7 linked regions of the Mus musculus genome follow. The protein of the gene in region 1 interacts with the protein of each later gene in a pairwise test. Links are inferred from orthologs where the notes say so. Each region holds a gene or a part of one and is shown in the gene's direction. Other genes may lie near its edges. The genes, in order: Ccndbp1, Mrpl15, Zgpat, Ccdc146, Ampd2, Pmp2 and Stk25.

Region 1 (3,475 bases):
TCCGTCTGTCTGCTTCTTAGTGTGGATGACTTGGTTCTGAGCATATACCCACCTGTGTGCCACCTCACTGTGCGGATCAGTGTAAGTACCAGCTTTCATTAGTATTTATAGAGCATTTATATCATCACCAAACTTGTGTGCAGATAAAATATCTTCATAGTTCTTGTTTGTATTTGGCTTGATAAATACTAGCTGGACTCTTGTTATAATAGCCATGTGCTTTGATACTTTAATTCTTTTTATTTTTAAAGATTTATTTATTTATTTTATGTATATGAGTACACCATTACTGTCTTCAGACACACCAGAAGAGGGTTACAGATCCCATTACAGATGGTTGTGAGCCACCATGTGGTTGCTGGGAATTGAACTCAGGACCTCTGGAAGAGCAATTAGTGCTCTTAATCACTGAACCATCTCTCTAGCCTCTGATATTTTAATTCTTTTAGAACCACTTGAATAATTGTTTGAAAAAAAGTCCAAACATCTTAGAAAGCAGTGCATTAAGGAGCAATCTTTGAACATTTTTTATTTATCTGGGGAGGAGAGGCATGTATGCCCATGTTTGTGTGCAGGTGAATGTGTGGACACTCAGAGGCTCTGTCACTCTTCCTGATTACCCTGAGACAGTTCACTCACTGAACCTGGAGCTGGTCTGGCAGCAAGCAAGCCCAGCGATCGCCTTGCCTCTGTGCCCACAGCGCTGGAGTAACAGATACACGCATGGTCATACGTCATTTTTTTATGTGTGCTTGGGTTTGAACTCTTGTCCTTATGCTTGCAAACACTCTTAGCCATGAGATCTAATTACACTGAATCAGTACCACAATATATGTTTTGTATGTATAATATACATATGTATTTGTGATTTGATTGTATTCTTGAAATGCTGTAACTTTATAGTTCTGTTTGTTTTTAATGACCTCCAGTTCATCTCACTGATGTAACTGGCAGGGAGGTGATCCTGCCAAGCAACTTACATTTTACAAGATGTATTGGTTTCAATATTTGATAAAATAGATGGTGGAAGATTGATTAATGTGCAGAACTCTTCAGGATGGCAGGTTCTTTGGAACATTAACTTTTTTGGCATTAACTTTTTAAGAACTAAATTCCTGAGAAATAAAATTTTAACAAGATGTTCTATCAGTGATCCCAAATACAGTATCATATGAAGTAATTTATAAATTTGTATGTGCTTATGTGCATTATTTTATATTGTTGCCGTAATCCATCTCCACGCTATCTCTTTGTTGTGGATATGATGGCTGGGTTCAGAGTAGGGTCTGACACGTGCTAAGCACGGCTCTACCTCAGGTCTTGAGATTTCCCGTCTTCCTGTCTTGAGCTTCTTAAAGTTCTAAACAGGGCCGTATGCCATTTCTGCCTCCGAGCCTGAGCTATTATAACTGTTAGGGTCTCCTTTTAAAAAGAAATTCTTCCTGTGTGTAATTCAGGCTGCCTTAAAACTCACCATTCTTCTGCGAGGTTGAGGTTATCCTTGTTCCAAATTAAAAATATTAAAGATGAGCTGGGTGTGGTAGCACACACCTTTAATCCCAGCATCCCAGAGGCAGAGGTAGGTGGATCTCTTAGTTTGAATCTAGCCTGGTCTACAAAGTAAGTTCCAAGACAGCCAGGGCTACATAGAGAAACCTTGTCTCAAAAAACAAACGAAATTAAAACTGTTGAAAACATATAAATGTTATGCCAGTGGTGTTCCTAAGATCTTGTTAAACAGAAAAGAACCTAGTCAGCATTTTAAATTTCATTCATTCCTTCATTCATTCATCCATCTATATATTGATTGATTGATTGTGTATGCATATGTAAGTCACATTGTATGTCATTGTATGTGTAGAGACCTGAGTATAGCTTGTGGGAGTCCTTCCATCATGTGGGTCCCAAGAATCATACTCAGGTTGTCATGACAGCCAGCGTGCTTACCCACTGAGCCATCTCATCAGCCCTTATCAGTCAAGGCTTTTTTTTTTTTTTTTAAACATGAGTGCTGGAAGTTCAAACTCAGGTAGGTCTTCAGGTCTTCATGGTTTTAGAGCACCAAAACATTTCCTCCACCCACTTTAAGGCTCTTTTTAAATGATTCTGTTATCATCATTAATTGTATCTTCAAGTTCTCCTTTCTATTGGTGCCATGGCTCAGAGTGAATGTTATCTCTGTTCCTTTTCTAGTCTGCGAAATTGGTGTCTGTTTTAATAAAGGCTCTTGAAATTACAAAGTAAGTATGAAGACTTCTCCCTGTGTGTTTTGAGACTAAAATCATCTGCCCAGCTATTCTGCCCCATTTCAGATTAGCATGCGGGTATGGGTAGGGGTGTGGAGCAGCCAGTCTGTGAAGGGGAATCCCTCTTACTGTAGTTTCTTCTCTGTGCCTCCTGGGAATGCTTTTCCCTTCACGCCGTGTTAACTTGATTTTTTTTTTTTTCTGTTTTATTCCAGAGCAAGTCACGTGAGCCCCCACCCAGGAGATAGCTGGATTCCTTTACTCATTAATGCCGTTGACCATTGCATGAACAGAATTAAGGCGCTCACTCAGCGTGCAGCTGAACTGTGAGCCTCCAATCCCTACTCTTCTTTCTCCCCTCTCTCTCACACCCACGATCCAGTGTCTGCTTTACCTATTTATTTTTTAAGTTTTTTTAACGTCTGCTTTTAGAAGTGGAGCTTTGACAGGGTGTTTGCTCGATAGAAAGGCAGCCTCTGTCCTTAAGAAGAGATTGTTACCAAGACTCCAGGCTAGGAGAGATTGCAGTTATCCACCAATCATACAGTGTGCTATGCTTCTGTGCTGGACACAAATTTCTATAAACTTGTGCTCTGAGCTGTTTTTTGGAAATCTTTAAGGAAGTTGACTTGTTCTCTAGTTTACTACAGTAAAGCATATTGTTTTATTAAGATTTTAATGATCTCAATAAATTGCTAACCTGCTGTGATTAAATGTGTCATTTAATGTGTCCTCTGAAGTGTCATTTAAAATCTTCTATCATAAGCCAGGCATGTTGGCATATACCTTTAATCAAAGCACTAGGGTGGCAGAGACAGGTAGATTTCTGAGTTCGATGCCAGCCTGGTCTACATAGTATATTCCAGGACAGCCAGAGCTCACAGAAAGACCCTGACTTAAAAAGTGTATTTTAAAACCTAAAATCTCTTTTTAAATTCAGTTTCTAAACTGTGGGCTCCTGTAAAATCAAAAATAAGTTAAATACTTTCTTACTTCAAGATGGAAGAACCAGGGTACAGTCACAATCTGAACAAAGCAAAACCACACTCCATCAGTGCAAGTAAATCCATGTTCTATATCTGGGATTTACTCTAATTTGAGTTCAGGAACTCTAACCCTGCCACAAACTGCCAAGCCTCAGCTGCTCCCATGACACATTCACACCTTCAAAAACAGCACCACTTGAGTAACTTACATCACCAAGTCTGGCTGCCAGCACAAGGCATAAC
Region 2 (4,757 bases), on another chromosome or scaffold:
TGCTAACATGCTTTTGCTTTTAGTTAAGACATGCATTATATCCTGCCAAGTTCCTCTGCTTTTACATATGTCCTTGAGAGACTGTCCAAGCCTGAAGGAAATGGCCTTAGTCAAACATGGATAGTGTGTACCATACACTTATCACATAAATGTTCATGTTCATTGTTTAACTTCCTGGAATTGGTCATGCTTTCTGTTGCTAGCCTTTAAAAGACACTGAGAAAGTAAACTTGCTGCTAGTGGTGGTATTGACCTGTAGCCCTCCCATATCTGTCTCTTCCATCTTCTTTTTGCCTTTCCTATAATCATCCTCATACCCCAAGTCGTGGTTTCCATGTTGAATGACCAGCAGGCTCTGGCCCCAGGCCCAAATCCATGGTTTTGAGTAGCTCACCCCGATATCTACCTTATGTGTAACCTGTTGGAACATGTGAAAGGGCTAGCTAGTCCTGCTGATCCAGAGCTGCAGGATCTCAGTGACCTAGGACAATAGCAGGATAACCGAATAGAGTCCCTGTGAGGATCCAATATTGGTGTAGCAGAAGCCAGAGACCTAGAACCAGACCAATGACTCATTGCAATGTACATTTGCAAGTAATAATGTATGGACAAAAGGGTATACTGTAGGACACACTGTGACACACGACAGCTTCACGATGAGGTTTCCTAAACTTTATTTTTATTTTGGGGGGGGGGGGGTTTGCAAGGGCAAAAAGGACGGAGGGATTGTGGATCTGGAGTGTATGATGTGAAATTCACAATGAATCAATAAAATAAAAATAAAGGTTTATTTGAGTTAGAAACAGCTGCTTATTAAATTGTCTCACCTTCACTATATAACTGATAGAGCTTGGTAGGAGCAATTCTCCAGCAAGACAGTGGAACGGAAAAAGAATATAAAAATGAACACATTGTTTTCTATATTACTTGTATTAAGACAAGTTTTAAAAATCATTTAATTTGGAGAGTTAAATATATGTTTGGCAGTTTAAGTTCATTAGCTTTGAATCCTATCTATACCATCTGCTGTGACAGCTGGGTCGATCTGATAGGCATAAAACCACACCTCGCTTCTAGCGTGGTTGTTTATATGAATCTAGTAAGGCTAACTTTAACTCAGTTTCTGGCATACCCCAGGAGCTAAGTATGCCCCACCCCCCATCGTTAACTGCAAGGCACGCTATTAGGTTGAACCTAATTAGACAATTAATTCTAGAGCCAGGCACTGTAACAGTTGAATTACCAGAGTCTCAAAGCTTGAACCTGTTCACATCATTTTGGATTACTTTTCGCTTCATGAGGCCCCACTTTTACCGTACAGCGTGTTCAGTCATTACAGGGCAGAAGAGAACAGTTTTCGTTCACAAAATGGTACCAAAGCCAGAGGATAAAGCATGATCTCACAAAAGTTGATGCAGTTCCCCGAAGTAAAAAGACATCAAGCCTGGAAGCTGGAAGACATAGCCTACCGACGCGGATGCGGTCGCTCTGCAGCACGACAGGGGCGGGGCAGTACGGCCGCTGCAGCGCGACAGGGGCCGGGCGGAGCCGTAAAGCAACGCGGAGTCTACGCCGCTTCCTGGGCGCCCTTGAAGCACCGCGGGTCATGGCTGGCACGGCGCGCGGCTGCGGGACCAGCCTGGACCTGCTGCGGTCCTTGCCGAGAGTGAGCCTGGCCAACCTGAAGCCCAGTCCTAACTCCAGAAAACGGGTAAACGCTTGGCGGCGGTGCGGGGAGTGCAGGGGCCGCGTCACTCTGGCGATGGACGCGTGCGGGCGCCTGGCTCCCTTCCGCGTGCGCCCAGTGTTAAGGATGCTAAGCAGGCGGAGGGTACACACTCGGGAACTGCAGACGATTCATCCAAAATTGCGTTTAAACTGAACTGCTTAGCAAGTGCCTATCGTCGTTATAAAAATCCCAGTGTTTTTTCTACATTCCAGCTGGCCAATGTGCAACCCAGGGTGCAACTAGAAAACTGTTGTGGGTCGGCTGCTCGGCTTTTACAGTAACTTAATATACGGCTTTTTTTTTAGGGGGGGGGGCGGTTGACAAAGTCAATTAAGGGAAAGATGTTACGGAGTTAGAGAACACCGAAAGACTACCCGACTCTATCCAGTTGTAATTAGCCAATTTTTTAATGTTATAGTGCAGCCAACCACAATTCCCCTTAGGCCCAGGTTAAAGGGGTAGAAGGTGGAGGGCTTTGAAAGGTCGCAATTACTTTATTTCTGGGGAACTTACAGCTACATGAGGAACTTTACCGAAGCAATTAATCATTTCACATCAGTTTTACAATTCTGTGGAGGGGGACAAGTTGCCAGGAGCTTATCTTTTAGGAATTTAGGAAATTAGAATGTGTCCCTAGCAAAAATTGGAGTTTTCCTTAGCCATATGTGATCTAATTACATATTTACGATTAATTTAAAAATAAAACATTTAATGTCACTCAAGCCTCGTTTTGGCTGTTTAGTTCTAGGATTTTCTTTTTCCGTTCCAGCTGCTTTTTCCTGAAGACTAAATTTAGGCCCTTAGCTTGTTTGTTCAAGCACACTATACCACTGAGCTGTAATCCCAAACCCTTTCCCGATGCCCTCTCACCGCCCCCCCCCCCCCCCCCCCCCAGGGTTTCTCTGTAGAGCCCTGGCTGTCCTGGAACTCACTTTTTAGACCAGGCTGGCCTCGGACTCAGAAATCCTCCTGTCCCTGCCTCTCGAGTGCTGGGATTAAAGGCATGCGCCACCACATCTGGTTCCCTTTCCCGATTTTTAAATGCTTTATTCAGAGACAGACTCTCAGAAAATTGGGGGTTGCTGGCCTTGCCCTTTTTTTGTAGCTTAGGCAGGCCTTGAACTTTGAATCCTCCTGCCTCAACCTAGCAGATAGCAATCACTACAGGGACCTAGCTTATTGTAGAGCTTGTTATTCCTGTTGGATCCCATCCCTTCCTTAGAACTTTGCCCTGTGTTTCACCTTGTATTTTGGTTACTAGGATCAGCTACATTCTGAGAGAACTATGTTGGTGGAGTATAAAGATGAGCACGCAGCTAGAGCAGGGCTTGGCACACGGTACTTTACCTCTGGTGCAATGGATAAACAGCATTAATATGGAATATGCTATGAGATGAGACAGTTTTCAGAAATGTATCTGAAGATCTTAAAACTCACTTTTTCTTGTAGGAAAGACGTCCAAGAGATCGGAGAAGAGGTAGGAAGTGTGGCAGAGGCCATAAAGGAGAAAGGCAGAGAGGAACCCGGCCAAGGCTGGGCTTTGAGGGAGGGCAGACTCCATTTTACATACGAATCCCAAAATATGGATTTAATGAAGGACATAGGTAAGGTTGTTTTTTTTTTTTTGTTTTTTGTTTTTTGTTTTTTTTAAGTACAAATCGTAATTTCCACTAAGAAGTACACAAGTAATTTGGTAGATACCTTATGTTTATTTAGGAACACACTTATGGTACTGTTGCTTTGAATAATTTTTAGTAATGTAACTTACCCTCTATTGTCTGTGTCACTGTATGACTATGCCCCCAGAAAAGCACATTTGTACAGAGTCTACTCAGACCAACAACATGCTGATGATAGTGCTTGCTGTCATAATTCCTTAGATGATTAACAATTGAAAAATGTATATGTATCTTTCCATATCTATATATATCTATATATATCTGTATCTATATTTATATATAAAAGGTAAATGTATCTTGCCATATGTATTTTTATTTCCATGTATATTACCTTTTTTTTTTTTTAAAGATTCATTTATTTATTATATGTAAGTACACTATAGCTGTCTTCAGACACTCCAGAAGAGGGCATCAGATTTCGTTACGGATGGTTGTGAGCCACCATGTGGTTGCTGGGATTTGAACTTGGAACCTTTGGAAGAGCAGTCGGTGCTCTTAACCACTGAGCCATCTCACCAGCCTGTATATTACCTTTTTAAATGGGTATATATTTGAAATATAGATATATTTAGATACATATACACAAACATCCCCATATATATTATGTATGTATGTATATATATATATATTACATTATGTATATAATATGTATGCATATATAATATGTTTATGGCACATTGTAGTGGGTACCATTTTTATTTTATGATGTTATTTTTTTAAATTTATTTACTTATTATATGTAAGTACACTGTAGCTGGCTTCAGACACTCCAGAAGAGGGCATCAGATCTCATTACAGATGGTTATGAGCCACCATGTGGTTTCTGGGGATTGAACTCAGGACCATTGGAAGAGCAGTCAGTGCTCTTAAATGCTGAGCCATCTCTCCAGCACCTTATGATATTATCTTGAATTAAACTGTGAGTTACTTGTGTCCATGAGTGAAGTAAATGTTTAGAGAGGTAAATTTTTTTTAGTGGACCAAAGGAAGCACTGGTGTTTTATTATGTGTTTGTGTTGTGCTTATAAATTTATTTTAGACCATCAGAAATTATGAAGGAAAACACTGGAAAGCGTGCTGGTTTGAAGAGGATACAGGAAGGTTACTTGGTGTTTTCTAATTATTACATTCCTGCTTTGCAGTTTCAGGCACCAGTATCAGCCTTTGAGTCTCAGGAGACTACAGTATCTCATTGATTTAGGTCGAGTTGATCCAACTCAACCTATTGACCTAACCCAGCTTGTGAATGGGAGAGGTGTGACCATCCAGCCGCTTAAGAGGGATTATGGAGTCCAGCTGGTTGAAGAGGTAACTCTAGATTGGATTTTGTATGTTTTGTTGTTTGGTAC
Region 3 (4,703 bases), about 60 Mb from region 1:
ACCCTGTCTCGAAAAACCAGAAAAACTTAAAAAAAAAAATTAGAAAATCTTTGGGGTAAATGTGGAACTCTCACAGAAAAGACTATGAGGGGCCATCTAGAGAAAAACAGGATCAAACAGGTAATGTGTCTTACCTTGTCCCACAAAGACTGCAGCTCTTCCTGCCCACCTAAGTCCCAAAACATGAGACGAGCCTTTCCCACGTCCACAGTGCCAACTGGAAAGAGTACAGAAAGAGCTAGCTCCTGACCTTTACACACAAGGTTCCAGCTCTCCCCAGGATGGGACAAACCATTCTGGTACCAATCCTAGGGAACTTGAACACAGAATAGAAAGACAGGGTTTTGACCACTGGTCAGCTGGGTTGTGGACCTTACAGCATCCATCTCTAAGGGACCTCCTAAGATCATATCCCTAAGGTGCCCCCTTACTGTTTAGACCCACGGTAGTGGTGATTTTGGATAGACTCATCCCCTTGTAGTTCTTGTTAAAGCGTGTTTTTGACTGTTCCAGGAAAGTCTGAGGAAAAAAAGAGAGGGGGTTAGATAGCAGCAGCTAGAGTAGTTTTCTGGTGTCCTTCCCACCTATCCCTTCACACCCATGCAGCCATGCACGCCTCTGCCTGTGGCTTGATCTTCAGGAGGCTGGTGACTACTAACCTGTAGCCTTGGGGCGGGGGTTAGATCAGGCAGGGAATGGGAACTGGTGAGAGAGCAGGGACCTACCGTCTTCCCAGCATTGTCCAGGCCCAGGATCAGGATGCAGTATTCATCCTTCTGGAACATGTACTTGTACAATCCCGAAAGCAGCGTGTACATCCTGTTCTGGCACCCTGAGAGATGTCAATGTGTGTACCGGGGGCATCGGCCTCCTGCCCTGCCCGCTTCATCAGCGGTCCGCCTCTCCTGCTAGTTTTCAAATGTGTAGCCTCGCGGATCCTGACTCTTCGCCCCCATCCCGCCTCTTCTGTTAAAATCCCTGACCCTGATTCCCCCGATGCCATCGCTGACCACGTGCTAGACCTGGGCCACTCCCACTTAATGTCATCTTTCATAATGCACCATCAATTCGGAGTCCTGAAAAGCCCGTGGCGGCCTGCTCTGCTCCGCCTTCCTAAGGCTCCTCTTTCCGAACCCTCAACTCAGAACCAGGAAACGCGGCCGGCGACTTAAGTCTAGGAAGCGACCAGAGAGGCAGAGCTCCTGAGGAGGGTCGGCTTCGGCTTCCCGCCGCCGCCGGGCCCACGGAGCCTGGGAACCAGCAGCTGAAGCCACTTCCGTCCCCCTGTTCCAGGACTTTAGAACCCCGGCCCCTCAGTCCAGCTGAGGCCCACCCGTACCTGCTCAGATCTTGGAGGAGGAGCCGCCGCCGCCGCCGCCGCCGCCGCCGCGTTCCTAACCCCACCGACCTCACGCTGACCCCTCACAGTGCCTGACGGAACAAGGAGCGAAGGACGGAGCACGGGCGGAATCGCATCCCAGCGGCCCCCGCGCGCAGGTACTTCCGGCAGCTTCGGCTCTCCGGCGGAAGTGCCCGGCGGAGGGCAGAAGGCTAGCGCGTGAGCTTGGCTGGCGAGGGCGGAAGCCCTTCTAGCCTGCGAGCGCCGGCCGGAGGTGGGGTTGCGGGCCGCAGAGGACGGGGCGGGTGACGTGCAGGTCCCCCTCGGCGGAACCGCGGCCCTCCTCAGGCTCCCTAGCGGTTTTGGGGGCGGCGTTGCCCTGAGTTGTTCTTACTGCTCTTCCTCCTGTTTTTGTCTGCGGTAAAGGTTCCGAATCCTGCCTGCTGGGTCGGGATGGACGAGGACAACCTAGAGACTGCCCTGCAGACCTACCGGGCCCAGCTGCAGCAGGTAGAGCTGGCGCTCGGTGCTGGCCTAGACGCTTCTGAGCAGGCGGACCTGCGTCAGCTGCAGGGCGATCTAAAGGAGCTGATTGAGCTCACCGAGGCCAGCCTGTTGTCGGTCAGAAAGAGCAAGCTGCTGTCTACAGTGGACCAGGAGAGCCCAGCTCAAGAGGATGCTGAGTACCTGGCTTTCCAGAAGGCCATTGCGGAGGAAGTGGAAGCGCCCGGCGCCCCCTGCAATGACTCGGAGACGGCCCCTGGGAGCGAGGTGCAGCCGGGATCCACCTCCTCTGCACTGGAGGAGGAGGAGGAGGACCCAGATCTGGAGGAACTGAGCGGTGCTAAAGTGAATGCCCCCTACTACAGCGCTTGGGGCACGCTGGAGTATCACAACGCTATGGTAGTGGGCGCCGAAGAGGCGGAGGATGGTTCTGCGTGCGTCCGAGTCCTCTACCTATACCCTACCCACAAGTCCCTGAAGCCCTGTCCGTTCTTCCTGGAGGGAAAGTGCCGGTTCAAGGAGAACTGCAGGTAAAACCCTCTGCTGCTAGCAATGAAGGGCACGCAGTCGGGACCACCGCTGTGGCCTGTCGCCACAACTAGTTTGGCACCCAGCAGAGTTGGTAATAGAGTCCAAACCTTAGGTGACTGACAGGCTTTTACAGAAGTGTTCTCCGTGTGTTTACTTAGATTTTTCTTGCATACATCAAGAAGTTTGAAAGAGCTTATGTTGAAAAGATAGGGCAATCCTTCATCAATATTCTTCTCCAAGGTGTAAAACTTTTTTTTTCCCCTTTGAGATAGCAGTGTAGTAACTCTCGATGTCCTTGAATTCTTGATCCGTCAGCAACTCTACTACATCCTGAACGCCTTCAGTTTCCAAATGCTAGGATTACAGGTGGAGGCCACCACTTCTACTGGGCTACATCTCCAGCTCGGAACCTTTTTTCTTTTTTTCTCTTTTTAAAAATTTATTGACTATGCTGAGGATGGAATTAGGGCCTCCAGCACACCAGGCAACCAACTACTGTACACCTTAGCCCCATCCCAGCTCCTGTAGTTTGCATAGTCTTACAGAAAATTTCAAACACATAATCTCTTGCTGACTTGCCCTACCTTCCCCCCCACCCCCCGTGCTACTTGAAAGCACCTTTCACAAGTTACATCTTTTTCTCTCACCCTCAAATACTTCAGAATGTAGCTGAAATAATAATTACTAAAACTGATTTATGTCTTTTTTTTTTTTTAACTCAGTCATCCAGAATAACCCTCTAGTACTTTGAATTTATTTATTTTAGGCCACTAAAATAAAAAGATTTGTTCTATTATAATGGTAGTAGTGAACTAAAATTAGTTTCACTTGGCAGGATTTTAGGCAGGGCTAGAGCCTTGGAAGTCTGAGGGCAGAATCCAGAACCCATTTCTTTGTCCATTTTTCTTTAAGGTTGTTATTATTATTTTATTTTGATTTTTAAAAAAATATATTTTAAAGATTTATTTATTTTGCTGGGCATTGGTGGCGCACACCTTTGATCCCAGCACTTGGGAGGCAGAGGCAAGCAGATTTCTGAGTTCGAGGACAGCCTGGTCTACAGAGTGAGTTCCAGGACAGCCAGGGCTACACAGAAAAACCCTGTCTGGAAAAACCAAAAAAAAAAAAAAAATTATTTATGTATGTGAGCACACTGTTGCTCTCTTCAGACACATGAGAGGAGGGCATCAGCTCTCATTGCAGATGGTTGTGAGCCACCATGTGGTTGCTGGGAATTGAACTCAATACCTCTGGAAGAGCAGTCAGTGCTCTTAACCACTGAGCCATCCCTCCAGCCCCTTATTTTGACTTATTTATTTTTTACTTTTTTAATGTTTTTCTCTAAAGATCCATCGGTTGCTTTTGTCTCATTTTGTTTTGGTAAGGTGGTTTGATACATGGTCTCTATGTAATCCTGGCTGTCCTGGACTACATACAGCTATGAAAGGCCTTGGCTGGCCTTGAACTCACTACCGAAAGGCTGGGATTAAAAGTTTGCACCATGGCCTGACTATTTTAGGCTTTTTTGAGACAGAGTTTCTCTAGTAGTCCTGGTGGATTTCCTGGAACTTACTATATAGATCTGGCTAGCCTGGAACTCAGAGGCATGCACTACCATTTCTGGCTAAGATATATTTTTAGTTAGTGTGTTTGTGTGTGTGTGTGTGTGTACGTGTGTACGTGTGTACGTGTGTACAGGTGCCAGAAGAGGGTATAGGATCTCCTAGAGCTGGCGTTCCAGGTGGTGGTGGTGACCTGCCGAACATAGATCCTGGAAAACAAACTCAGGACTTCTACAAGAGCAGTATCCTCTCAGCCACTGAGCCATTTCTCTAGCTCTATGTATTTACATTTATCTTTAGATTGCGGTGGGGGTGGGGCATGTGTACAGGTAGGTGCCCAAGAAAGCTAGAAGAAGGTGTTGGATCTCCTAAAGCTGGAATTGCTCACAGAAAACATTAACCACTGAGCTCTCTCTCCAGTCCCCAGAGACCACCCATATTCCCTGTTTTGTGGCATCCTCGAATCACTTTAGGCTCTTCTTTCCATGTTACATCTGTACTCTGCAAGTCTTATTTCTCTACTTTTTCTTTAGGATAAGGTCTCATGCAGCTCAGGCTGGCCATGTATAGCCCTTCCTATATAGCCAAGGATGACTTTGAACTCTTAATCTTCTTGACTTCACTTCCTGCTTATACCTCTCAAGGGCCAGGATTACAAGCAAGTGCACATCTTTTGTTGTATTTCATGGTGGACTTGACATGTCCTTGTTCTGGCTCTTTCCTATGCTAGCAGATAGGTGCATAAGTGATTTGTATGCTCAACGGGT
Region 4 (4,552 bases), on another chromosome or scaffold:
AGCTCACATCCTAGCCCTGCCTACTTGTATTTAAGGTGGAAAGACACCTAAGGAAGCAAATTTCATAATGTCACCACGCACGGGGCCTTTGTTTGTTCAGTCACAGTATGTATCTTATACTTCCTTTACTTCAATGTCCTCATCTGAAACGGTGACAAAAGCATCCACCCTACCGAGCAACTGTGAGGGTTAATATAAAATAATTTTAGAAGAGGTAAACGGTGCTATTGCTATCATCAGCAACACCATCCTTCAGTTCCAGGAAGAATGAGAGCCCCAGAACCCTTTCTAGAAAAGTATGTGTGCTCAGCGGTTTGCATCTGGGAAATAAAATAACGGGACTCAGATGCCTAAGAAATACGTTTTGCAGGTACTATTATGAATTTCCCCAGACAGTCTTAACTATGTGTCTTGCTTCAAAGTTTGTATTCGCAGAGAATTTACTTATGCCTAAATGAATAGACATCTACCAACCTGGGTACCTGTTGGAAAGCAAGGTTTTTTGTTCGTTTGTTTTTGTTTTTGTTTTTCTAGATTAGCTGGAAGCATCTATACATAGAGCTGACGAGGGACCAGAGCCCCGAGATGTGGGCTACCAAACCACTGGATAGTTATCAAGAAACCTCAACCCTGAACGATGCTAATGACTGTGATGCTAATGGCTCCACAATGTAATTAGACTCAGATTATTCCAATACAAGCTTCCACTCGGCTTTAATTTTCCTCCTTAATTGGAAACCCAACGCTTAAACACTATTAGTTTTGTGACCCAAACCCTTTTTCACTTCACTTGCCAAATTTGACGGGCGCGTTCACCTCCACCGACGCCTGGGGGTCGATGTCGTCCGACAGAATGGCCATCTCCTGCCGATCAGCATCATACTTGACCTGCAGGCTGTCCAGGCCGCGCGCCACGTGCTCCACGCCGCACACCGCCACCTGCACGCGGTCGCCATCCGGGTGCGCAAGGGGATCCAGGGGCCTCACGGCCAGGTGGCAAGGGAGCCGCGCCCTCAGTCGCCCAAACGGGCTCACCTGCAGCGTCCACTCCCTCAGAGCCCCACGCGCCAGGCCGGCCCCAGAGTCATCGGGCGCTGATCCCTGCCGCTGCGCCCCACTGGAGCCGCAAGTCCGAGCCCCGAGAGCTCCGACCAAGGCGCCCGCCCGCACTCGGGACGCGCAAGGAGGGAGGCGGCCGAACATGCTCTCCCTTGGAACGCTTCAGCCTTGGCTCGCTGGTCCCGGGACCACAAGAACCACGAGCTGCCTCGGGTCAGTCACGAAGGGGACAGCATGCACGGCTCCGCCAAGGAAGAACGAGCCAGGCCCCCAGCACAGTACTTAACGCCTTAAATCCCGGTAGGAAAGTTAAAACTTCAAAGAGCCTAGTTGAAACCCTGACCTGGACAAGTCACCTATTTCCGCCCCTTTGGCGGAGGCCATCGGGATATGTAGTTTTAAAGGAGCCAAACATCAAGGTGTTCTGGTAACTGTGAAACTACATATCCCAGGAGACAGTGCGCTGAATACACAGACTGACAGCCGATTGGTAGAGGAGCCCCCGCTCCCCCCTCGTTGCTTTCCCGTTGCTTCAAGCCCATTGGCCAAGAGAGCAGAGAAAGAAAAAAAGTTAATGTAACTGACCAATAGGAAGAGTAGAAGGGACGGGATAAACTCAGCTGTGGTTACTTTGGATACCAAGGACGCGACTCTTAGGAGAGGGTGAAGTTTTGAAGTGAGACCCCAGGGACCAAAACACACGGAGAAAAATAAGAGTTTAAACAAGGATCAGGACCAAAAGAAAGGGTAAGAAACAGCATGTTTATAGATGGGAATCAGATTCAAAGTTAGGAATACTTTCTTTAGGTAGTTAGAACCAAAGGTCACCAAACTAATGTGGATTCCCTGGGAATAGAGAATCCCCCTCACAAGAGACCTTAGCATGAGAGGACAGACACGTTCTGTTGCTTTCTCCCTTCTCTGTCCTTTAAGGGAACTCCCACTTAGGTAAAAAATACTAGATAGAAAAAGTGTTAGAAGCCAGGTATGGTGGCGCACGCCTTTAGTCCCAGCACTCAGGAGACAGAGGCAGGTGGATTTCTGAGTTCGAGGCCAGCCTGGTCTACAGAGTGAGTTCCAGGACAGCCTGGGCTATACAGAGAAACCCTGTCTCGAAAAAGAAAAAAGAAAAAAAAGGAAAAGAAAAAGTGTTAGAATTCTGGCTCTTTCTTAACTGTAAGTAGTAATCTTAGGCCAGTCATTGGATGCCTTTGGGTTTTACTATTTGCTTATAAAATGATGACACTATCTTCCTTGTCTTGTGTAGAAGTTTTTTTTTTCGTTTTTACCACATTTATCAAATGAAACAATGGACAACAAAGCAGTGCACAGTATACAAAACAAAGTATTTTAGGAATGGCATATGTCTACGTTGCTAAGAGATTTGGAGACATTTGAACTTGGTTAGAGGACAGTCTTGATCTCTTTCCCTGCAACTGGTCCTTGGCCTTAATGGTAAAATAAAATCTCTCTCTCTCTCTCTCTCTCTCTCTCTCTCTCTCTCTCTCTCTCTGGATCATAAGACTTGTTAGGGGATGTCAGAATTTTTTCCTGGTCCTGTTGTATTATCTATGGCACAAGAAATGTTTCTTCAGTTTTGATATAAGACAGACTGTGCTAAATAACTCTATAAGTTAACTCTTTTTTTTATTATTCAGTAGGCAGTAAAGATAATGGGAAATGGGGGGTGTGGACATTATTTCAGCCATATTTGCCTATTCTTCTCCCCATTCTACAAATAATTCCCTAAATTCCTTACATACAGATTTAACTAATTGCAAGTCCAGTGTGATGGTGTTCACTTGTAAGTTTTCAGAGTTTGGGAAGCTGAAGCAGAAAGATCTCAAATCTGAGGCCCACCTGGACTATATACGGAGAACGTTGTGACAAATAAAATACACAATAAGTAAATAAAATGATACCTTTAAAGATCAAAACTCTCAGCCAAATATGGGACCCCAATTCTTTGAACCTGAAGTGACAGATGGATAGATAGACTAGGCTAAAGTCCTCCCCAGCGTCCATGTTGTTCTCTTAGTGAAGACTATGGTAGTGGTGGTGGCAGTGACAGCCCTGCCCTGCTGTCAGCCATCTGAGAAGAAGGCCCCTATCCTTGAGGACCTCCACCAAGGTGAAACCTGTCCTTGACTTTGCTGGAAAAAAAATGTTGGGAGAAGCTAATGTGAAAGAGGGTTGATTTAAAATAGATTTTAAACAAGGGTTTAAGAGCACAGGGGTTGCTAGAGGTGACTGATCACACAGGGAGAGAAAGAGACACACCCAAGAGCACAGGTGTAAGCTCCCTTGAGCTTGCCCTAAGTGACTTAGCAGAAGTGCTCCAGAGTCACTCTTTTGCTGACTCTCATGTTATGCCTCAAAGGATTTCTCTAAGAAACTTCTTTAAAACCTTTCTCTTCTTCTTCTTTTTCAATAAGTGAGATTATAGGATTACTCTAGAGATGTCTTGGATTGGGTTACAGTCCTAAAATAAAACTGTGTGTCACAAGAATTGTAAAAGGGAATTAAAACATGTCCTTTACTAGAAGTAGGGTTTTGGGTAAGATTTCTAGAAAACTGTTGGTTTATAGCTGAGAAAGAAGAAAGAACACATATATTTAGGCCTTACATGTGATCCATTGCTCCTTCAACAATGTAACTTGAAAGTATCACTATGTAAGAGACTGGTGATCCTCATCGATAATGTTGACAGCTGTGTTAGAACTCTTCATCTTCAGCTGGTGAGACACACTGGTCAGGCTCTGGAATGAGGGCTCCTTTTATTCCCAGTTCTCCATCATGTTCCCGTGTTTCTCTCCTGCCTCAGTAGGCTATAAGATAGACTTTATGATAAGCAAGTGCTCACTCAGTGAGTAGCGCCATTGGCTTTGTGTCCCATGTGGACGTACGTACTCAGACGAGCCTTCAAGTTATCTTTTTTAAATGAAAACCCAAGAGTCATACTTTGACATTTGAAAGAGGCACAAGCAAGTTGAAACTGCGCTCTGATTTGCTGTGGACGTGCTGCATATATTTGGGCCGAATATGCATCCTTAATAAATCATCCTGTTCCTATAGTCACTTTTCCTTTTCTGAGGAAAAATAACTTAATAGAACTGACAACTGAGCCATCATGATATCTGTGACACGGTCATTATTTCATTACTTTCAAGCAAAGGAACTAAAACGTACTGAAAGACTACCTTCCTGCTTTTATGAGGGTGGAACCCGAGAATCTGGTAGAGATTAAGAGTGACGTAAGATATTAGTTACCAATGCCTAACAAGCTAGTCAGTATCAAACTTGTCTACCTGTAAAAGTGAGTGATATAGTTTTCAAAGTATGTTCCCGTGTACCATCTCACGGTTTTCTCACAAAAAGCTATTAAGAAGGATAGTTATTCTTCTCCCTGCATGACAGCTGAAGAAACAAGATTCAGAAAAACAAGATGAAGCCATTATGACCCCCAAAACTGTGGTTCTGGGGGGATGAGAGC
Region 5 (3,577 bases), on another chromosome or scaffold:
TGTGTACCGCACCAAGGGCCAGCTGGCCAACTTCCAAGAGATGCTGGAGAACATCTTTCTGCCCCTGTTTGAGGCTACTGTGCACCCTGCCAGCCACCCGGAGCTGCACCTCTTTCTGGAGCACGTGAGCGGTGGTGGCATGGGCTGGGACAGGGCAGGATAGCTGGGGTTGGCCCCAGCTGTGGCTCTAGGTCTGACCACCAGCTCCTCGCCAGGTGGATGGTTTTGATAGCGTGGATGATGAGTCCAAGCCAGAGAACCACGTCTTCAACCTGGAGAGTCCCCTCCCAGAAGCTTGGGTGGAGGAGGACAACCCTCCCTATGCCTACTACCTGTACTACACCTTCGCTAACATGGCTATGTTGAACCATCTGCGCAGGTGCGTGCCCCAGGGGTGCGTGCTTCCTGAGCTGAGGTCAATGGTGCCCTGACACCCATGGCCCCTGTGCCTGGACTGACAGGCTCTTTCTCTGCCCTTAGACTTAATTTTCCATCCTTTCCCGTTAAGGCTCTGCCCCTGTCTTCTCTCCTAGTTCCCCACTGTCACTCACTGGAGGGCATACATATGAGTGATGTGGGATCTGGGGTCAGGTGAGCTTAGGCGTGCCCAGGCTCTGGATCTGACTCTGTCTTCATACCCCACAGGCAGAGAGGTTTCCACACGTTCGTGCTGAGGCCGCACTGTGGGGAGGCCGGGCCCATCCACCACCTGGTATCAGCCTTCATGCTGGCCGAGAACATCTCCCACGGGCTGCTCCTGCGCAAGGTCAGGGTCTGCACCCCCAGCCTCCACGTGCAGCTGCTTGCCTTCCCCATCCTCCTCCTCCCCCAGCCATGAGATCAGATTCCTCCTTCCCAATATAATTAGCTCTTCCCACCCATCCTCTAGCTGGGGAGCCCAGCCCAGGATTCATCATTCTTATGTGAGTCCTCGCCTGGACCACCCTCTTCCCCTAAGCCCCAGAGCCAGCACGCATGCCCTCCCAGCACTGAGGCCACCTGACAAGTCCTCCATTCCCCCTTCCTGCCCAGGCCCCCGTCCTGCAGTACCTGTATTACCTGGCTCAGATCGGCATCGCCATGTCCCCGCTCAGCAACAACAGCCTGTTCCTCAGCTACCACCGGAACCCTCTCCCTGAGTACTTGTCCCGTGGCCTCATGGTCTCGCTGTCCACAGATGATCCCTTGCAGTTCCACTTCACCAAGGTCAGACCCAGGCCAGCGGGCAGCCAAGGGCAGGTATCTGGGGGATACTGGGTGCCTCTAGGTTGGTGCTGCCCCCTTGCTGCTGGAGCTTAGCAACTGTTAGCTAAGTCCTTAAAGGAGGGGGGGACGGCAGGGGCCTGATACCTGCCTCAAGGAACCTGGCCTGTGCAGGAGCCCCTGATGGAGGAGTACAGCATCGCCACCCAGGTGTGGAAGCTCAGCTCCTGCGATATGTGCGAGCTGGCCCGTAACAGCGTGCTCATGAGTGGCTTCTCTCACAAGGTATGGAACTCAGCCTGCTTGGGGCTGGCCATTACCCTTCTCCCTTCCTTTGTATTTGGGGTCCTGACCTTGTCCCTGTGATAATTGGATCTACCTGCATCTCTGCCTGTTACCTATACCCCTGCAGGTGAAAAGCCACTGGCTGGGACCCAACTATACCAAGGAGGGCCCTGAGGGCAATGATATCCGCCGTACCAACGTGCCAGACATCCGAGTGGGCTACCGCTATGAGACGCTATGCCAGGAGCTGGCACTTATCACACAGGCCGTCCAAAGTGAGATGCTGGAGACCATCCCAGAGGAAGTGGGCATTGTCATGAGCCCAGGGCCTTAGTGCACCTGGTCTGTGCAGTGCTCGTCCCATCTCAGCGACTTGACTGTGACCGTGATTAGACCCCTCCCACCTGATGTGGTCTCTGCATGTCTCCGTGCTATGTTTCTGTCCTGCATGTCTTCGACCATGTCTTGCCTCTGGGCCACCTCAGTGAAAGCAAGTCCAGGAATCTGCTTCATTATTGTCTCGGCTCAGGTGGTACCTGGTGGCTGAGATTTAAGAGTTGGCCCTGCTCGTGACCCATCTCAGAATTGTCAGAAGTCTGGCTGTCCTATGGTATCCTCAGTGTCCACAGGGGCTTGGGATGGTTGTGTAGGGCTGGCCCCTTGAGCACCGGGAACCCAGGCTTTGGTTAGAGTTCAAGTTGAGTTTCCCTCTTGTTTATGTGGCTGTGGGACAGGAGGGGCTCGTTATCTCTCTGCTGTGGCACTGGCTGCTCAGCCTCTGAAGTTCCAGCTGGTCTGCGCTGGGCAGAGCAGGACTTAGGCTCACTCACGGCCCTGGAGGCCTGGCCTGAGGGGCTGGCCCACTGTCCCTGCTGAGTCACTGCCCATCAGCCCCGTTCCTCCCCAGCCCACGTGTTCCTTTGTTACCAGCCCCCTTGTATCCCTGTGGGAGGGGGCAGCTGCCCTGACCTGTCTCAGTTGGAGGCTATTGCAGTTGGAGGGTGCTGGAACTGTTACTAGCTCTGGAGGTGGCACCTTCTTTGGGGGTTTCCAGGTCTTTGACCAGACCCAGTTCCCAGCCAGCCTCTTGTGTTATGTTCTAGACCGAGGCCTTTGCTATGAAGAACAGTGTTTCATATGACCCATTTTTTCCTAGTGCATGAGAAATAAAAAGATTATTTAATTAATGAGGCATGTGAAGGTGTCTGTTGGTGGAGGGGGGGGAAGGGCGGCGGAGTGGTAAGGCACTCCGGTGGAGTACGGTGTGGGGCGCTGTATAACATAGACTGGCCGTCCTGCCGACGCTTCTGAGCGCTTGGATTGCAGTGTAGGCCGCCAACCTGTGAAGTGATGGCATGGGTGAAGTGGATTATGTGCGCACTGACTGAGGTGTCTGTAGGAGAGGAGATCCCATTGAGCCTCATCCAGTTCACCTCTTCTGAATAGGTCATGAGGCTCCAGGTCCATGTTGTATATTCTTGACATACTTGCTTGAAGGATGGCATCTTTCCCACCTCCTGCCTCCTGTACAGCCTCTTAGGGCAGCGAGGTAGATGGGAAAATATGCTCCTACATGTCTGCCTGAGGCTTTTAGGGAGCCTGTTTAAAATGCTCTTCCCGGGTCCCTCCCTCAGGGATTCTGACACAAAGGTGGCAGATGTGGTGACAGATATACCTGTCAGATTGTACAGCATGGAGCTGGGGCTGCTTGTATTGGAATCCATCACTAGCAACTCCCTTTCCACCCGTGCCTATGATGCAATTTGCAGAGCACCTTTTTGCCACTAAGGTGGCTAGAACCTGCTGCCAATGCAATGGAGGGGGGGGGGCAGCGCAGGGTTCTTAGTGCATAGGCAACAGACGCTTACACAGCTGCTGCTGGGTGGAGAGGGCCTAGGGGCTGCCTGCCTGCCCCAGAATTGCAAGCCTGTGTGATGAGAGGTCCTGGTTGGGTGCCCATGGAGGTCCGTATCAGCCCCCACCTCTACCCCTCACCCCCCACCCCAACCCCCGACTCTGAGCAGGCAGGAAGGCCTCAGACTGTTGCAGGTGCCCCAGAGACCCAAGGCAGAGCACTCTTCACCCATCT
Region 6 (4,679 bases), on another chromosome or scaffold:
TGCATGAATGTGCTTGTGTGTGAGTTCACATATTTATGTGTGTATGTATATGTATGTGTATATGAATGTATGTGTGCACACATGTATATATATATATATATACATATATATATGTGTATATGTATATGCATGTGTATGGTTTGTGTGTGGTGTGTGTGTGTGTGTGTGTGTGTGTGTTTGTGTGTTGGAAGAAGCTAGTCCATAGTCAGGATCTAGCACTGGGGAATAATGCTAGTTTAAATCTGGACTTTTGTTTTAGTTTTGGAATAAGTTGTCTAACTTCAAGATGCAGTTTTCCTCATTGTCAAGCTGTACATAACAATATTGCCTGTCTCTACTGGGTCTGAGAGGATGAAATGAGACAATCTAAGCAAATCACATGGGACTATCCTACACTGAGCTCTCAGAATTCATTAGGATTATTTGGTAGGAAATCATCTCTCTATAAATCTGTGGACTTTAAATAAAATGCTTTAAATTCAAGGTTGTCATAGAAACTAAGAATTATTATCCTCAGGTATGCTTTTAAAAAGAGATGAATCTAAACCACAGTCAAAGGGCACGCTAGAGTGCTGCTTCCCATCCTGATGCATGAATACAGCGTCTGTGCTCTACAGTGGCAGACTGACTTTCTTGTCTGCCTACTCTGCCTGCCCAGAATATGTAAACTATGCCAAGCCTCCTTAACTTCTCAATGGGCCCTCAAAGTGTGGGCTCCCATTTCCCTCCCACAGCATATTTGAGACACTTATTACAATACTCATAGACTGTCCCCCCTTTTAAGAATTCTGTGACAACCCTTACCCTACGCCACCCCACCACCCAAAAAGTAACAACCTAGCTAGAGAAACATGAAGAGAACGCTTAAAACTTGTCATAAAGATGCTCCAATGAGTATATGAACAACACAAACTGGGTTTGTTTCTCCTTCTCCTTCTCCTTCTCCTTCTCCTTCTCCTTCTCCTTCTCCTTCTCCTTCTCCTTCTCCTTCTCCTTCTCCTTCTCCTTCTCCTTCTCCTTCTCCTCCTTTTTCTCTTCTCCTTCTCCTCTTCCTCCTCCTTCTCCTTCTTTTTCTCCTCCTTTTTCTCCTCCTCCTCCTCTTCTTCCACCTCCTCCTCCTCCTCCTCTTCCTTCTTCTTGAGGGAGGGAGTTGTAAGGAAGGGAAGCAGACCTGGGAAGACTGAAAGTGAGTGTGATTAGGGTGGTATTATATGAAATTCCCAAATAATCAATAAAAATTAATGCAAAACAAGAACTCTTAATCGTGCTGAGTCAGAATTAAAAGTCAGTAAGATACCTACACACATGCAAACGTGTGCGTGTGCACACACATCCACACTCACACACAGACACTCAGACACACACACACACACACACACACACACACACTCATATAATATATAGAAGGGCTTAAGCATGCCTATCAATGTAAGATGAACCAAAAATATCTTAAAGGTTCAAACAATACTTTCAGTTGTTTTTGTGGTTTTGGAAACACAAGGACATTGTGTAGAGGATTATTTCACCCATGGATAGGCAGTGTACGACTTAAGAGCCATTCATCACTCAGCCTGGTCGCCGCCTTTCCTCATTGGGTCTCAGGGTGAGTCACATGCTTTGGGTTTCTTTGAAAAGAGCTGTGCAAGATCTCAGCATCTCCCAGGCATCTGCTGCATCCCACCAGGAACTCTACTGAACTCTCTCATCATCTCCCAGGCATCTGCTGCATCCCACCAGGAACTCTACTGAACTCTCTCATCTGTCACAATGAGCAACAAATTCCTAGGCACCTGGAAGCTTGTCTCCAGTGAGCACTTCGATGACTACATGAAAGCTCTAGGTGAGAAGTGCTTTATGACAAATGTCCCTTGAAAGACAGATACACAGGGTTTTCTTCCAATATTCCCCCTCCCCCGAGTCTGGGGAATGTTTCGTGGGCTGAGTGCAATCTTCTGTCTCATTCATAAAATTTACTTCCATTTCACTGGCAATAAATAAATTAGAACTTACACAAAGCTATTTAAATGCATGGAACTTGAAGACAGTTTTGCAGGTTTGCCGTTGGAAATTTGGGGAAAACTATTAGAATTTGAGTCAATCCATATTCTGGCATTTTCTGAAAGCTTGTTTAATAGAAATTAATGTGGTCATAAGATTATGAGTTGAATACTAGAAAGCCACAATTTAAAATTTTAACCTTTATCCAAACTAAAAATTTTGTCTCTGCTTTGAGTTTGTCTGTAATTAAATGATCATCTAAGTGTGTGAAGCTTGACAGATAACACATTTCCTAGATGAGGAAGCTTGAAAACTGTGGAAGTTGTTGAGATCAAAAGAGCTAGTTGGATGCTGTGAGTTCAAACTCCGTCCCACCAATGCCTGCCCATCCTAGTGTTGAGCAGGGACTACAGACAAGAGTGTGGTGGAGACTTTGTTCTGTTTTGTTCTTCTTACCAGGCATAGTATGAACTACAGAATGTCAAAAATATGATTCTACCAAGGAAATGGGGGGAGGGGGTGTTCTGTATATCCGTAGCTACTTATGGACAGAGAACGTGTTATAGCAAGGTATGTGGATGGGAGATAGTTAGGCTGAAAGCAGCTATAATGTTTGTAAATACAAACTCAAATGTCTCTAATGCTTTATACAAATCTGAAATGACTTATTTTATGGTGAGGATACCACTGGACATGACAGAGTGGACAAACTAAACTTTTGCAACTGTGTAGTTTTATGCTGTAAACTCTGTTGGCATCACTGTTGTAACAGTACACTAAAATGCTTGTGTCACCAACATGCATTTTCTCTCATTGTTGAAACTTGGGAGGAAGCCCTTGGGAGGAAGCCCCACCATCTACTCATTGAAGGTATCACTGAATAAAGAACTTTAAACCTATGGACATGGCATCTGTCTCTTAGATATGCCTCCTTAACCAACCAATCAATCAATCAATCAATAAATAAATAAATAAAACAAAAAACAAAACAAACAAACAAAAACCCCCCAAAACTGACATACCTTGCTTTTCAGGTGTGGGGTTAGCCAACAGAAAACTGGGAAACTTGGCCAAGCCTACTGTGATCATCAGCAAAAAGGGGGATTATATCACCATTAGAACGGAAAGTGCCTTTAAAAATACAGAGATCTCCTTCAAGTTGGGCCAGGAGTTTGATGAAACCACAGCTGACAACAGAAAAGCCAAGGTAATTTGTAATACTGTTTTCCTGAAAGCTGGTCCAGTGGACTACTGAGAGCTAGGATGATCCCTTCTCAGAGTTAGGGACCTGGGGAATGAATGTGACTTGATGAGACATCTGTCATGGAAACTGAGATAAGCCAAGCATGTGAACGTGTCTTTGTAGAGCATCGTGACACTGGAGAGAGGCTCCCTGAAGCAAGTGCAGAAGTGGGATGGGAAAGAGACAGCCATAAGGAGAACGCTGCTGGATGGGAGAATGGTAGTGGTAAGAGCATTTCCAGTCCTCGCAGCAGAAATAATGCCGTATATATTCATTGGCTGTGCTTGTTGCAAAATGTCCCTTTTTCTTTGGAGTATAAATAGACAATAACACCAAGAATAAAGTCAAGGGTTAGTGCTTGAGTGAAAAACCATTTTTAAAAATTCATGTTTGAGTCCTACGTGTGCTAGGTCAAGATTTTAAGTGGTAGTATCTAAACAATAAAGTTAATGAAAATATGGATGAATGTCACTTGTTTAAACTTACTGCCAAAAAAGCCTATACTTCAAAAGTAAAATATAACCCTGGCGTGCCCAATTATAGAATATTGTAGTAAAAACACTTTGTTTTTCCGGAGTCCATAGGAACTTATCCTAAACTATACCAAAAACACAATTTAAGTTCTAAGCTCTGGAGACCTTTTAGTTAGTAGATCAGAATGAGGCAAAGGAGTCCACCAGATGGACTCTAGGGGAGTTTTAAGACTGTGAGTCTGTGCTCACTAATTAACACACACTGAATATACATACAGTCCTCTAGTGGGTTGAGTATTTCTATTACTGTGCACTGGGTTTAGCTCTAGCTCCACAACAGATGTATAAGAGTCAATTCAACACAAGGTCCCTTTTACGGATCAACCAAGCCAAATCTCTCAGGGAGTATATTTGGCTGCTCTTTGGGTAAGGCAAATGTGAAAGCCATTTTGATGTTAGTCACTATTCTCCTTGTGACCAGAGCCAGCTAAAAAGCATCTTCAGAGAGAAGAACTCATTTTGATCTGTAGTTAGAGACTGTCCATCACGGCAGGGAAGACAGGAAGGCAGATGCTTGAGGCAGCTGGTGGTGCACATTTGGGGGAAAGGAAAATGGACACTGGCACCCAGCCCACTGCCTCTGCCTTAGGCTAACGCATGACTGGCATGTCTCTATGCTAGCATGTGTCAGGTGTTCAGGTCCCCCACCTCAATTACCCTGGCGGAGACTGCCCCTCACAGACATGCCGAGAGGTTTGGTTTGTCTTTGTGATAGATGATTCTAACTCCCACAAAGCTGACAACCAACATTGCGCATTATAACTATGACAATTTTATTGGATTTAAATGCATCTAAATTGTGCATTAAAAACTGCTGCTTGATCATGTATAATAACACAGTTCAACTCTAATGGTTTTTCTCGAGTTTCTATGTTGTAATTGTGAACTACTAGAAAGTTAGCATC
Region 7 (4,611 bases), on another chromosome or scaffold:
TAGGGCTTTTCACATGAAGTCTGATGGTTCATATGGATAACCCCAGCATTTGGGAGGCAGAGGCAGAGGCAGAGGCAGAGGCAGAGGCAGAGGCAGAGGCAGAGGCAGAGGCAGAGGCAGAGGCAGAGGCAGAGGCAGAGGCAGAGGCAGAGGCAGAGGCAGAGGCAGAGGCAGAGGCAGAGGCAGAGGCAGAACTGCTGTGAATTTGAGGCCAAAAAGGGCCACATAGAGAGTTTTAAGCCAGCCTAGGCTACAGAATGAGGTCCTGTCTTAAAAATCAAAAATAAAGGCCTACAGAGATTCCTCAATCATTAAGAATTCTTGTTGCTCTTCCAGAGGACCAGAATTTAGTTCTAGCACCCATGCCATTCAGCATATGACCCTCTGCAACTCCAGATCCAGGCCTTTTCAGATCTCAGTAGGTTCCTGTTCACATTTAACATACACATATATGTACATAAATAAGTCTTAATAGAGTTGGCCTTGCCTAATTTCAGACTTTTCTATAGGAGGGATAGGTAGGCTGAAGGCCATCCTACAGATGATCTTTTTCAGGGGCAATAAAAATATTTGCCCCTATTGTTGATGCCTTGGGGCGGGGGAGGGGAGGAAACCAAGGTGCTTCAGGATCCAGGGCAGGGCTGTTTGCTGGAAGTCTATTTTCTTCTGGGGAAAAACACAGCAAAGAAAACCTAATCAACATGTAGTAAAATTTGGCGGTTAAAGAATCTGATGCAAGGTCTTGCATGCAAGGTTTAAGGTTCCAGGATGGTGCCCAGGAAGAAAATCCACCAGAGAACAGAAACAACAAGCCTTTATGAGTTGGGGAGTAGGGACATTATGGTGGTTTGCACTGAGCCGTCATAGGAATGGACACAGTATGGAGCCAAATCTCCCTCCCGTGGAACACTAGGAGACTGCATAGAAGTGGACATTGCTGACTAGTCACTCATACTGAATTCACAGGATGAAAGGCATCTTCCAACCTTTGGAAATCCCCGCTGGACCACACAACTCTTCCCAGCGCCAGGTCATGTCCTGGGGACCTACGATTAAACCTTTTCAGATAGGGAAACTGAGGCAGGAGAGAAGCACTTGTCCAACAATGGGCGACTTTTCTAAGGGCGCGCGTGGGCGTACTCCTTGTGTGTGTGTGTTGCTAAGCGCAGACAAGAAGGTCACACTGCGGTTAAAGCTGGAGCACCAGGATATGAGGGTAATGTGGGTTCGCACTCCAGGCACACAGTATGGGTCTCAGAAGCTTGGCAAACAGAACTGGGAAAATGAGAGGAGGGCTGAAAAAAAAAGAGAAAAAAAAGCCTAGAAAACGTCAAGGCAACTGCGCACGCGCTGCACCCGTCACCGCGCGGCCTGACAGGAGGGGCAGCCCAGCTCGGGCATATCTCAAGGTTCGGATCCAATCTGTGGCGCATTTGTGCCTCTCCACTGACCGCCCACCGCAAGTTCTCCTGGGACTTGTAGTCTGTCGCCATCAGGGCCCCGGAGCACTTGCGTAACACCTCATCCTACCGCGCAGCCTGCTGGGACTTGTAGTCTCAATTTTGCGTGCCCGGGGTACGGGGCGGGCTGCGGGACTCCTAGTCCCACAGAGCTTCGCGCTCGCCACGACGCCCTGCTCAGAGCCGCTGCCTCCACCTCACGGGCTGGGAGGCCTGGGCGTTCCGGGAGACCGAATTGCGGTGTGAGCCGCCGTGGGGACTGCGAAGCGGGCCCGGAGTCCGAGATGGAGCCGCCCGGAGGTGGGCGCTGCCAGCGGGCCTCGCCTGAATGTTGGGGAGGCCGGGCACGCCCTGAGGGCGGGTCGGGGGCCCTGGGCGCGGGACCGGAGGTCGCGGGTGGAGGGACGCCACGGAACGGGTCCCCCTGGCCACTGTTGACCGAGCGGCCTGCGGTTTCTCGCAGGTGCTTGAGGCGAGCGGGCGGAGCGGCTGCGACGGACTGGTCACGTCAGCGGGGACATGGCTCACCTCCGGGGCTTCGCGCACCAGGTGAGTGTGGGCGTCGGCGTGCCCCGAGTCCGTGGTTCGCTGTGGAGCGGATTTGTCCACTTGAGGCGGGAGAGGGGCGGAGGCCGTCTGCCTCGGGGCGCGTCTTGGGGCCGTTGGAACTCTGGCCTGTGCCGAGCCAGCGCCTGCGGAAGACGTGAGCCCCAGGGAACGTCTGCGGGGCGAGCGCTTCTGCTCGGGAGCTGCTGGGGGCAGGTGCAGGAACCTGCCCTGGGCACAACCTGCTTGACCCAGGCTCGGAGCACCTTCCCAGAAGATGGACTCCACCTTCCTTGGCTAACGGGATGGAACCCCGACACGGGACCGCACAGGAGATGAGGGCTGCGTAGGGTCAGAGGGTTCGGTGGTTTGCTCTCTGGACCCCCTTTCTCGCCTTTATTTTATTTGTGGTGTTGTTATTTCAGAGCAATATGACAGACAGCTAGTGAAGTGGAATGAGCTGCCTTGGCGGCTGATTTTCCTCTGGCTTTAGCTGTGGGATTTGCGTTTTAAGGGCTTGGTTTAGATAGGCTTAGGCTTGACAGTTGCACAGTGAAGGAATCAGTTCCTGAGGACAGTGCAGCCGCTCACCCCACCCCACCCTGACCCCCCTTCTCCCTGCATCCTTGAGAACTGGTTGTGTAGACAGGAAGCATGTCCGTCCGCTGCTTGTGGGCAGGAATTGGAGGCAGGGCTCCTTGGAGGAAACCAAACCAGCCTGGAAGACTACTCACAGCTGTTGGGGAGGGCTTTTGGCCCAGCTGTCACAGATGGGATCCCGAGCTTGCTAACTGATGCTGAATTAAGCTAACACATTTTTAATACATTTTGACATTTCGCCTCTAATTATATAACATACTAAGAGAGAGAGAAAAAAAATCTGCCTCTAGTTTATTTTTAAGAGACTTAAGCTTAGCTTATGAAGGTCCCAGGATGACAAATTGGAGCTATGAATTGCGAAGGAGTACAGTAATGATGGCTAGGGGACCTTTCTCAAAGAGAAAACACCCTTTTTGTCTTTTTAGGGGCCTGTGTCCAGCCTAGACATACTTGGCTTCTGAAAGTGACACAAAACCTTTGTAGGGCTGCTTTCTCCCAAGATGGCTGCCATAGAGTCCTATGAAATTGCTCCTTTTGTGTGATAAGGCTTGTACTTTCCCCCTGTAGCCTGTGCTTCTGCCTTAGATTACCTTTTACCCGGCCTGTTCCTGCCCATCTCTGGAAGGACCAGATGGTTCTGGGCAAGCACTGTGTGACTGTGTGTGGTAGATGAGGGAGGATGTGTGCTGAGTTGTTCCTCTTGTTTTGGAGAGGTGATACACAGCAGGCATGTTGGCAGAAAGGCCAGAGGCTGTAAGTATAATATCCCTAGGATGGAATGGAGAGCGAATGGGTCTCAGTTGTTCAGAGTAAGTTAGATGGCTTGAGTGATGGTTCATAACACATTCTGTCCAGAAGAGAAATCTGAGCCACCCAGATCAGCATGCTAGCTGTCTGTGATTGGCTGGGTTTGGGACTAGGGCTGCTTCAAAGGTGTAAATACAGAGACCATGCCAGAAAGGCTCCTATCATACTGTTTCTTAGGCTGACTGGTTCACAGCTATAGGTACCCAAAAAACGTAGACTTTGAAGACTAGGGTTCCCACCTTCCTTGCACAAAGTCTAGAACTCTGGCTTTGGGATCTGTTATTTTCTTTTCCTCTGAGGCAGTGTGAGTGAATACCTGGCCTGAAGTATCCTTCTTCGGCTACTGTAGTGGACAAGTTCTGATTCTAGGTTCCCCCAGAAGAGAGCAATTAAGAATTCTCAGTATGGCTGAGCAGTGTGGGAGGATGTGGTGTCTGAGCCTGAGTAGTAGGAAAAGGGCTACTGAGAACTGGAAGGATAGTGGTCCTGGGTCATGTAGTTAGCCGATGGCTTGACTTCTCTCTAACAGGCTTTCTTAGGCTACAAGCACTGGACTGAACCAGTGATAAGACTGTATTGCCTTGAGTCCTCAACTAGACCTTCTGGAGATCTTTGAGATGGTTTTCAAGGTGTCTCAAAACTACACATGGTGGAGCTGTAGCATCTGAGGAGACAGTAGAGGCCAAGTGGTTAGAGAAAGAAGGGTTTGAAAAAGTGTTTTGGGGCCTGCTGGAGCAGAAACAGGCAGAAAAACAAAACAGAACAATAACAACAACAACAAAACAGGCAGGAAAAGGTCTGCTATGTGGCCCTTGCTCTGCACCTGGCTTTCAGGGCTGGCTTTGAGCAGGGGATCAAGTGGTCACTGCCCAGACATGAAGTGACAGAGGCTGAGGTCTTTTCACACTGATCACGTCTACCTTTATCGGTGGTCTCCACACTGATGAGTGTGGTTAGAGCACATGGCCTGGAGTGGTTCTTTCTGATCTGGCTTGGATCCAGTGCTGATCTTGAAATAGCTAAAGTGTCTGTCTTATCCGCCACACTTGAGAATTTTTCTTGGCTTTTTATTTAAGCAGGTGAGGCTGGGATCAAACCCTACTCCCTGGCCAGTGGAGCTTAAGGAACTCAGGCAGCCCTTAGCTTTCTCTGTCTGGCCAAATCTCAGTGTGGCCCTTCAGGAGTTCAGGCTGCTCCA

Evidence for each region.
Region 2: the proteins of Ccndbp1 (region 1) and Mrpl15 interact in binary tests that used the Homo sapiens proteins (3 or more experiments, as listed by UniProt). The two-hybrid records come from large-scale screens. The link is inferred for Mus musculus from reciprocal best matches to the Homo sapiens genes CCNDBP1 and MRPL15.
Region 3: the proteins of Ccndbp1 (region 1) and Zgpat interact in binary tests that used the Homo sapiens proteins (3 or more experiments, as listed by UniProt). The two-hybrid records come from large-scale screens. The link is inferred for Mus musculus from reciprocal best matches to the Homo sapiens genes CCNDBP1 and ZGPAT.
Region 4: the proteins of Ccndbp1 (region 1) and Ccdc146 interact in binary tests that used the Homo sapiens proteins (3 or more experiments, as listed by UniProt). The two-hybrid records come from large-scale screens. The link is inferred for Mus musculus from reciprocal best matches to the Homo sapiens genes CCNDBP1 and CCDC146.
Region 5: the proteins of Ccndbp1 (region 1) and Ampd2 interact in binary tests that used the Homo sapiens proteins (3 or more experiments, as listed by UniProt). The two-hybrid records come from large-scale screens. The link is inferred for Mus musculus from reciprocal best matches to the Homo sapiens genes CCNDBP1 and AMPD2.
Region 6: the proteins of Ccndbp1 (region 1) and Pmp2 interact in binary tests that used the Homo sapiens proteins (3 or more experiments, as listed by UniProt). The two-hybrid records come from large-scale screens. The link is inferred for Mus musculus from reciprocal best matches to the Homo sapiens genes CCNDBP1 and PMP2.
Region 7: the proteins of Ccndbp1 (region 1) and Stk25 interact in binary tests that used the Homo sapiens proteins (3 or more experiments, as listed by UniProt). The two-hybrid records come from large-scale screens. The link is inferred for Mus musculus from reciprocal best matches to the Homo sapiens genes CCNDBP1 and STK25.

Annotation. Positions count from the first base shown.
Region 1 is NC_000068.7:121,013,938-121,017,412, forward strand, and holds the end of Ccndbp1 (cyclin-D1-binding protein 1), read left to right. Parts: intron 1-20; coding exon 21-81; intron 82-575; coding exon of another isoform or gene 576-726; intron 727-2,193; coding exon 2,194-2,240; intron 2,241-2,461; coding exon 2,462-2,576; 3' UTR 2,577-2,975; downstream 2,976-3,475. UniProt on the Homo sapiens protein: May negatively regulate cell cycle progression. May act at least in part via inhibition of the cyclin-D1/CDK4 complex, thereby preventing phosphorylation of RB1 and blocking E2F-dependent transcription.
Region 2 is NC_000067.6:4,782,527-4,787,283, reverse strand, and holds the start of Mrpl15 (39S ribosomal protein L15, mitochondrial isoform 1 precursor), read left to right. Parts: upstream 1-1,557; 5' UTR 1,558-1,606; coding exon 1,607-1,711; intron 1,712-3,178; coding exon 3,179-3,333; intron 3,334-4,550; coding exon 4,551-4,716; intron 4,717-4,757.
Region 3 is NC_000068.7:181,363,880-181,368,582, forward strand, and holds the start of Zgpat (zinc finger CCCH-type with G patch domain-containing protein), read left to right. Parts: upstream 1-1,543; 5' UTR 1,544-1,792; coding exon 1,793-2,373; intron 2,374-4,703. Other genes in the region: Arfrp1 (ADP-ribosylation factor-related protein 1), read right to left, coding at 135-217, 432-519, 726-818. UniProt on the Homo sapiens protein: Transcription repressor that specifically binds the 5'-GGAG[GA]A[GA]A-3' consensus sequence. Represses transcription by recruiting the chromatin multiprotein complex NuRD to target promoters.
Region 4 is NC_000071.6:21,421,819-21,426,370, reverse strand, and holds the start of Ccdc146 (coiled-coil domain-containing protein 146), read left to right. Parts: upstream 1-1,693; 5' UTR 1,694-1,806; intron 1,807-4,552. Other genes in the region: protein FAM185A, read right to left, coding at 795-1,203. UniProt on the Homo sapiens protein: Essential for sperm flagellum biogenesis and male fertility.
Region 5 is NC_000069.6:108,073,160-108,076,736, reverse strand, and holds the end of Ampd2 (AMP deaminase 2), read left to right. Parts: coding exon 1-124; intron 125-215; coding exon 216-379; intron 380-645; coding exon 646-766; intron 767-1,032; coding exon 1,033-1,206; coding exon of another isoform or gene 1,207-1,239; intron 1,240-1,377; coding exon 1,378-1,488; intron 1,489-1,615; coding exon 1,616-1,822; 3' UTR 1,823-2,675; downstream 2,676-3,577. UniProt on the Homo sapiens protein: AMP deaminase plays a critical role in energy metabolism. Catalyzes the deamination of AMP to IMP and plays an important role in the purine nucleotide cycle.
Region 6 is NC_000069.6:10,180,908-10,185,586, reverse strand, and holds the start of Pmp2 (myelin P2 protein), read left to right. Parts: upstream 1-1,701; 5' UTR 1,702-1,767; coding exon 1,768-1,840; intron 1,841-3,032; coding exon 3,033-3,205; intron 3,206-3,364; coding exon 3,365-3,466; intron 3,467-4,679.
Region 7 is NC_000067.6:93,632,696-93,637,306, reverse strand, and holds the start of Stk25 (serine/threonine-protein kinase 25), read left to right. Parts: upstream 1-1,579; 5' UTR 1,580-1,760; intron 1,761-1,923; 5' UTR 1,924-1,979; coding exon 1,980-2,009; intron 2,010-4,611. UniProt on the Homo sapiens protein: Oxidant stress-activated serine/threonine kinase that may play a role in the response to environmental stress.